Linked DNA regions of Coturnix japonica. The protein of the gene in region 2 interacts with the protein of the main gene of each other region in a pairwise test. Links are inferred from orthologs where the notes say so. Each region holds a gene or a part of one and is shown on either strand. Other genes may lie near its edges.

The links.
Region 1: the proteins of TAX1BP1 (region 2) and MAP1LC3C interact in binary tests that used the Homo sapiens proteins (3 or more experiments, as listed by UniProt). The link is inferred for Coturnix japonica from reciprocal best matches to the Homo sapiens genes TAX1BP1 and MAP1LC3C.

The regions. Positions count from the first base shown.
Region 1 is NC_029518.1:32,120,367-32,124,427, reverse strand, and holds MAP1LC3C (microtubule-associated proteins 1A/1B light chain 3C), read right to left. Parts: upstream 2,565-4,061; 5' UTR 2,509-2,564; coding exon 2,451-2,508; intron 2,372-2,450; coding exon 2,316-2,371; intron 2,208-2,315; coding exon 2,101-2,207; intron 1,337-2,100; coding exon 1,129-1,336; 3' UTR 792-1,128; downstream 1-791.
Region 2 is NC_029517.1:30,157,418-30,161,807, reverse strand, and holds the start of TAX1BP1 (tax1-binding protein 1), read right to left. Parts: upstream 2,881-4,390; 5' UTR 2,766-2,880; intron 1,536-2,765; 5' UTR 1,529-1,535; coding exon 1,352-1,528; intron 1-1,351.

The DNA.
Region 1 (4,061 bases), on a different chromosome or scaffold from region 2:
TCTTTCGCTTAAGGAAGTGATGTATGTATGTGTGCATAATTCAAACACTGTCAGCCCTTCTTTCAGTCCAGCATCTTCTACATGGATCAATTTTATACTGAATAGAACCATTATGATGCAATAGTTTATACATAACAAATAGTCAAATTGTTATATTCATTATCCTAAGCTGAGGCTTCTGAAGGTTAACTGCACGCTGCAACAGATTTTTACATAACCTGGTATTCCGATTATGCACAAACTGAACATTTACAACTTTCTGACACATTCCTGATATATTAGAAAGCTGCACTTCAGCTTGAACCTCCTGTCAAGAGTTTCTTCCAATTCATTTTCAGGAAGCTTGTACAATAAATGTATCAGCATGTCACTACATGATAGTTTTGACATTTTCCAGATACGCTGACATACCTCTGTAAGGTACAGCACAAACACCCACACTTGAGGCAAGGCTCACTGAAGTCCCTCAGCAGAAGAGCTGTGCAGGTGCCTGTAGGTGAAAGGGATGACCAGCTTGCCTACAGACCAGACTAGCAGAATTCAATAGAAAGAGCAGAACACTGACCCCTATTCTAGCACTGATGCAACCCTGCTACTCAGGTACTTCAATGAATGAACTGTTTGTAGGTATGAGCCTACTGCTGCATGAGCAGGCTTGAGTTTTGTTATCTCATTGTGAAATTGAATGAGTGGCTGTGCAAGCAACACTCCACTCCAGAAGCCTGGAGCCAGAATCATTCTAGGACCTTTTCCCAGGAAGTCTCTCCCCAAATTAAAACTGACATTCAACCTAGTACTTAAAAGCTTCTTTATTTTATTCTTAAGCAACACCTTAAAAAGCAGTTACATCACAAGATCGGTATTGCAAAAAGTGGAGGTGCAGTTCCAAAACAACAACAACAAAAAAGAAACCCCACAGTGCCTTCCAAGTATAAAAATATACATCTAAATTATCATCCATGGAAAAGTGTACCACCATCTCTGCCTTGAGCCGGTCCTGCCAGCTTTTGGATCATAACTCCGCAGTACAGAGCTCAAGAGCTCATACTGGAGGGAGCATCTCCGAGTCTCATGTCACATGCATGATTCACAGCACAGTGGCTTAGCTGCAGCATATAGACCCCAGCATTAGGTTTTATGGTGGCATTCCATAGTTTTCCCTAAGGTGAGTGAGCAGCATCCGAACATCTCCTGGGAAGCATATGTCATGTACACGAAGCCATCTTCATCCTTGTAGTCCCTGTACACCTCTGCCATGGTCAAAGACATACTCGCTAAGCTCTTGTTGTTCACCAGCAGGTAGAAAGCTTGTGTAGCAGTCAGAGCCATCCTGCTTCTGAATGAAGAGGGAAAAGGAAACAAAGGACCAAGCATTAGCAAATTTAAGGTTTCAACCTTAGTCTATAAAATACATTAAGCAGAATAGTTGCAGCATTTCTTGTACATAGTTTATGCACGAAGACGTTGCTTAGTTTAATATTTCCATCAGAAAGTTAACTGTACTCAGAAACAGGAAGCTTGCTCCAGGGAAAGGCTTAAGCTGCAGGACTGTAGCTGCTACCAAGCCTGAGCCTGGGGCTGCCCATTCCCAAGAAGTGCTGAGTGTAGCTACAATAGGGAATTTCAGCACAGCCTGTTAAACTTAAGGCCTGCCCACCTTCAGAGGAGTCTCACTCAGAGACTTTACACATGAAGACTGGCTGACAAAAGTATCTTCTACATAAGTTAATAACTGGAAACATGGCTTCCACGCACTTTTTGTCACTGACAAAAAATTGCCTTACAATTCCCCAGCACCCCTGCACAGAACGCCCCCCTTTAGGAGACCTCTTTGCCAGTGTATTTGTAAAGAACACCCGGGATGGAGCTGCCACAGGTTTGGGCAACCTGTAAGTGCAACAGGAGCAGCAGGGCAGCAGCAGTTGGATGCAGAGCACAGCCCAGAACCAGGCAGAACGGGAGCAGAGCAGCAGCCTCGCGCCGCCTTTATCCGCCAGTGAGGGGGAAGAGGGACCTCGGGAGCCCCGAGCTCTTCCCTATCAGCTCCCGCTGGGGGAGGCCGCCCCAGGCCCCTCTCACGCGGTAGTGCGCGGCCCTTACCTGATGATGGTGATGAACTGCGTCATGGTCAGCTCCTCGGGGACGAGAAACTTAGTTTTGTCCAACAGGGGAAGGTATTTCTCCTTCTGGTACCTCTCAACGATTACCTGTTTTTAATTAGAGTCACTTAGAAGCCCCAGCGACGTTCCGTTCCCCTCCTTCCAAAATACTCAAGGCAGAAGCCGGGAGCCCCCGCCCGCGGAGCAGCGAATTACCGGGATCTTTGTGGGGAACTTGGCCCTGATGCCGGCCACCTCCTCCCGCCGGGTGGCTGCGCGGGAGAGAGCACAAGCGTTACGTTGTAACGTAGAGAGAGAGAGCACCGTACCGTCCCATCCCCATAACCATACCCAGACTCTTGCGCAGCTTGAAGGGCCGCACCGGCTGCACCCCGGGACCCGCCTGCATCCCGCCGCCTGAGGCCGCCGCCCCGCGCCGCGCCTCTTATGGGCCGGTCCGGCACCGCCCCGAGGGGCGGCGTGTGGCGGGCGGGCTGCTTCGCATTTGGGAGTTGCCTTGGAAGTATCCATCCCAGCATCCATCCCAGCATCCATCCCAGCGCTGCCCAGCCTTGCTTTTGCTTCACGCACACTTCCATGCCAGACGCCGTTCTGTCAAACTGCCCCTCTGCTGCCATCTGTCACACAGCTACAACGTGTAACGAATATTAGGATTCAACCTCTGCTGCCATACCTCCAATGTCTGCCTCTGACATCGTGGGACAGCATCACATAGTATGAAGCATTACTTTCAGGGCAGCCCTCATAAAATACATAACATGGTTCATACATGAAAGTAATACAACTGTTTTTAGTATTTTATATTGAAACAAAACAAAAGAGAGCAACAGCACCATAATTCTGATGAGATATGTGACCTTGTTTGTGAGAAAGTGGCTTATCAGTGTCTGGTTTGCTGGCAGTGGCTGCAGTTCTTATGAGCTCCGAAGGCATTTGTCACATTGTTGACAAAATGTACTCCTCCTGTGCTTTATCCTTGACAAAAGTTGTTCACAAGTGTACGTACTGCCTGACGGCCATCTCAGGAATAAGGTGTGACTGTGAAGCAAGGGATGTTTCTCCCTGGTAAGGGGGTTTATAAAAGTCTGGTGAAGAGCAAGTCCAGCCTGGGAGTGAGATTATATAGTGTCCTGGTCCCGTGACTTATCCCTGACCATGATGTCCTCTGGGATATGTAGTCTTCTTCTGTGAGCTGAACATTCAGTAAAATTATCCATACTTTACATGATGTTATGATGTGGAATACTGATAGCAAAATTACAAAACCATGACACCATCACAGCACAGCTCACCAAATGGCACAACGAACTGAAGTATGTAGAGAGGACAGGGTGTGTTGCTCTGAGGAGCTGCTGAGCCTCAGACTTGGGAGGGGAGCTGTGGCCAGTTTTGGTGCTGTCAACACGGCCCCTAAGGGACCCATCCCCAAGGTAAGCCTCCCCAGCTGTGCAGGAGAGCTCCAGGGCTCCTATCAGAGATGCATGTGGAACACCTGGACTTGGTTCCACACAACCACCAGCACCTTGTTTCCAGAGGGATGTTAGCCTTCACAGGCAGCTGTTTGACAGAAAACTGAGCACCTGACAAGAGAGGGAGGGAGCTGAAGAACGGAACTTCAAGTGAAATTCTTGGCTGTGGCTCTAATTCCTACTGCAGCTAAAAGTGAGCACAGTTAGCAGATGCCCTGCGTTACATCATCTGGAGGCAGAGAGCAAGGGAGGTCATCTGTGTGTCTGCATAGCACCTGTGCTTACACTAGCATCGAATTATCCAGATTCAGACTTGCATGTGGAATGTGATCTTTCTTCTCTCCTTTCCCTTGGAAGTTTTTCTCACTTGCATGTAATTATTGGACTAGTGAAGCACTTCTGCGCAGTGAATGGATTTCTCAGAGTGCCATACTGAAGCACAAGGAAGAAAGGTAACTGTTATTCTTTTTTT
Region 2 (4,390 bases):
GATCGAAAGAGGTACCTATAAATTTTGTTCAATACAATCAGAAAAAAGTTCTTAGTGAACCAGATGAGCAAACACAGGAAGGAATACAGCCGAAGCCATTGATCCCTAGAACAGAACAGTAGTACACATTAGAACTATCAATGCCACAATGTTCACGGGAAAAAATGTCTTTGTGAAGATGTAGTAAGGTACAAACTGTTCACTGTAAGCATTACTCACACACATATACACTGATAAGCACAGATGTAGTAGGACAGCTGGCTTCATTTACCTCACTGCACTATAACTATATAAAGACAGTATATTCATAACACGTAGTAACAAACAGAAAACAATTTTCACCCTTTTCCCCATCTTGCAACATTTCCTTCCTTCGTAGTGATGAGAATGAGATGGACTAGAAATTCAGCTGTGGAATTCCCCACTAAAAATAATTTACTCCCAAAATGCTGGTCTGAACCTGAAATCGATTCCCAGACTTTGTTCATCACACAAGTGCCTATTTCACATAAAGGGGAGGAAGAAAAGAAATAAGTAAAAGAAAGGGAAGATATGTTACAGCCGTGTTACCTTCCGTCAGCTCAAAGTGTTTCCCAAACAATTGCTAAAGCTGTATTGCCTGCAACTGTCGAAGTAGAATAAAAACCTCATACCTCAATAGCTTATGAAATTATCATCATACACAGTGAAATGAAGCATATCTGTACATTGGACATAGCGTTACATGCAGTCACTGAAAAAAACATTTTGTATTTTCTGCTGTGCTCAAAAAAAATCTAATCTGTATTTTTAGGAACCTAATTGCCTCCCTTACTTAGATTGATACACACAGAACCACAACATTCATTTCTCAGGATACACGTAAATAATACCAAAATGCTTGTGTAACCTGAACAGCACTCTCTTTAAACTTCTGACTTTTCTTCCATTCCTTCGCCCTGTTAACTAAACATCAAGCACGCTCAGTCACACTCCTGTTTGTCAAAACACATCAGGTCATCAAAATACATGGATGTATTTTTAACCAGTTCCTACCAGAGAAATCGCCCTGCTTGTAGCTAATGTCACCCTCTCACAATTCACTGACTGTAGTCACTGAATATATTATTAAAAATCCTCCTCTCAAATCATCTCCATTTAATTCTCTACCACATCATGGCTTCCCTTTACTCCAGCACATTTGTACTTATCACTCCAGCCTCATCTCCGTTAAAAGCTCAGACTCTGACGTCACACTGTGATGCTTCCTCTAACATTTATAAAAGTATTATTTTTCGATTTCTCTATTAGAAACTGGTTAAGAGAAGACAGTGAACAAGTGAAAAACACGAATAGATTAAGTTTTACTTACCTTGAAAATACCAACCCAGTCTTTCTGATGAGGATGGATAAACTGGGTCAGAGTGTAGTGACATTCAAGGTGTGTGTTCGGCAGATAACTTTTTGCCACATTCTGAAAAATCACGTGTGCAAAATTGGATGTCTGTAAAGCGTTAGCTGAAGATGGGACTTCTTGAAAGGATGACATGTTTGATCTGCAACAAAATTGGAGAAGCTGTTACTTCAATATCATGAAGAACTAAGTTAAAAATAACCTGTTCAAAAGATACCAGACAGAGAAACAATTCACTCCTCTGGTCTGACAACAGACCAGCTACAGACCGAGCCCATCAAAACGCAATGCTCCAAAACAATCACTTCTCAGAACAAAAAAAAAAGGCAGTCATCTCAGTGATGAAATGAAAACAGAGAGAAAGCACCACTTAACTGAATGCCCCTACTGCTATAACACAGATAAACTGAGTACCAGAAAGAAGGAAATAAAAGTGGTGGGAAAATGAGGCAGGGTTAGGGTTAGCTATGACTTAATTAAATGTCTTTAGTGACTCTGGATGCTTCAGGGAAATCCGTACTTCTGAATGCTTTTGACAGTATTTCCATAAATAAAATGTTGTTCCCCACTCAGTAAAACTAAGAAAGCTTCATTTTAAGACATTTTAACAAAGGAGAAAGTTTATCTAAACAGGCTTTTTTTTTTCCTTATTTTATTTCTCCTCTCTTCTGATGTCAGCAGACTGGAAGCACATTTGCTGTCCCCACTTTAAACACAGATACCCTTAGTCTTGCACTTTTACTAATAACAACTGAACTGATGGCGCAGACATTCAAGTCTGCATGCAGTTGGATGGATTAGCACTAATTCGGTTGGATTGCAAAAGCTTCCCGTCACCATTTCCCTTCACCACCTCATTCCAAATACACCGTGCTAAAAATTACAGCACCACAAAATGCTTCAAAAGCAAAACATAAGGGTCCATCTCTCTGAATTATTAACAAGTACAAAGCTGCAGTTTCTGCTAACCTAAAAGAAACAGAACAGCCTTACTATATGAAGCTAAGCAACACTGAAAGGAAACAAACCACGTCAATTTTCATCACCTTGGTAAGAAAAAAAAAAAAAAACACTGGAATATAATTTTTTTAAAATAGATTTCCTCAAAAAATTAGGAAGTTTATTCTAAGAATGTGCTAAAAGAAAAAAAAGCGACTTCTGCAGACTGCTCTGCTTTGCAGCCCAGATCCAGGCCTACACAGGCCGCCCCGACCAGCTGATCCCCGTACAGGCGGGGGGGGGCCTCCCGGTGGCGCAGCGCCGCCGCCCGCCGCCTCACATCCCTGCCCGCCCCAACGGGTGGCGAGGACCGGCGGGGAAGGGGCTGCCAACCCGCCCACCCCCCTCAGCTGCACCCCGCAGCGCCCCTTACCTATGCAGGCGCGGAGGACGCCGCGGACATCAACATGGGGCCTCCACCATCAGCGCCACGCAGCCCCGCCCGCCCGCGTCACTTCCAGCCCCGGCCCTGCCCGCTCGTTTGTGCTCGCGTCACACCAGTTTGCGTCTCACAAGCTGCGGATTTAAAGCTTCGGGCCTGTGCCTGTCTCTGAGCCACCAAGGAGTGAGATTAAAGCTCACAGTTCTCCTGCTTGCGTGAATTGGCAAAGTATGTTACCTCATAAATACACAGATTCTACTGGAGCTCTGTCCAGCGCCAAGCTGTAGCTCTTACAGAACAGCAGAGATGAGGAACAGAATTCAGTGATGAGTAACCACCATTGGTGTGTCGGACTTCTCCCAGTACACCCAACACGACCACTACCTCAAATAGTCTTTGAAATCACCTTTACCTCTTTACCGCCGCTGTTTCATCACTATTTCCATTCTCAACAGACAGGCACAATGACCACATTATTGATTTGAGTATCTGGCAAGATTGCCAGCTTTGTAATAGTCACCCCTAATGAAACTAAGCCGGAGCACAGAAACTCTTCAGTCATGAATGGTTGTCTGAAAACAACTTCACGTCTTCACGTGTAACCTGTAAAACAGGTTATTAAGTAATCTTTTTTATTTCTGGACATAACTAGTAATTCCTTAAGTTATTCATATGTTCCATTGGAAAGCAATACATTGTTTTAGAATCATGAAGTCATTAAGGTTGGGAAAAAGCACTTAGATCATCAATTCAACCACCAGCCCATCCCCACCATGTCCCTCAGGACAACAGCTACCCTTGAACACCACCAACACCACTGGGCAGCCTGCTTCACTCTTTCTGACAAAGTATTTTTCTTAACATCCGACCTGAATACCTCCTGGCACAACTTAAAGCCTCTACCTCTCATCACTAGTAACCTGGGAGAAGCCAATTCTCATCTTGCTACAACCTCCTTTCAGGTAGAAGACACAAGAAGTATGTGTACAAGGCTTTTTTTTCCTTAAGACCAAAGGAATTTGTGCAGTGGTAAACAAAATTGGTGCAATAACCAGCCATACATATTTCTGAGGAGGTGGGGAGAGCTATTCTGTCTTATCTATAACCTCCATTTCTTCTTCTCACTGCTCTTTGCACCACATGATGTGATAAAGGGTTGTCTAAGAGTCACAAGACACTGTTCTGCTATGGGCTCTGACTCTGAAAGAACTTCAGTTTCACAGCCAGTATCTGGGAAGTATAAACAGTGATGAGACGAGTAGTTTTGTTTTCACTGACTCTCATTATGTTGTTACTTTATGGAATGTACTGGGAGTTCTGAAATTAAGATGTTCTTTCTTTCGCAGCTAACATAGTTTTTACAGTAAAAGCCTGGGGGGGGGGAATATCCTCTGTTTCCCAATTTTAAAAAGTTATTCACAAAGTGCTCAAGCAGGGTCCCTTAACAGCCCCTACCCAGGGTTGTGTCCCCATGTCTGTTCCATGCAACCTGTTCCAGCTCATCAAGGATGACTGTTGCTCAATCATCCTCACAGTAAAGTCTTTCCTTATGTTCAGACAGAACTTTCATTGTTTTAGATCATGCCCACTGCCTTTTGTCCTATCACTTGGCACCA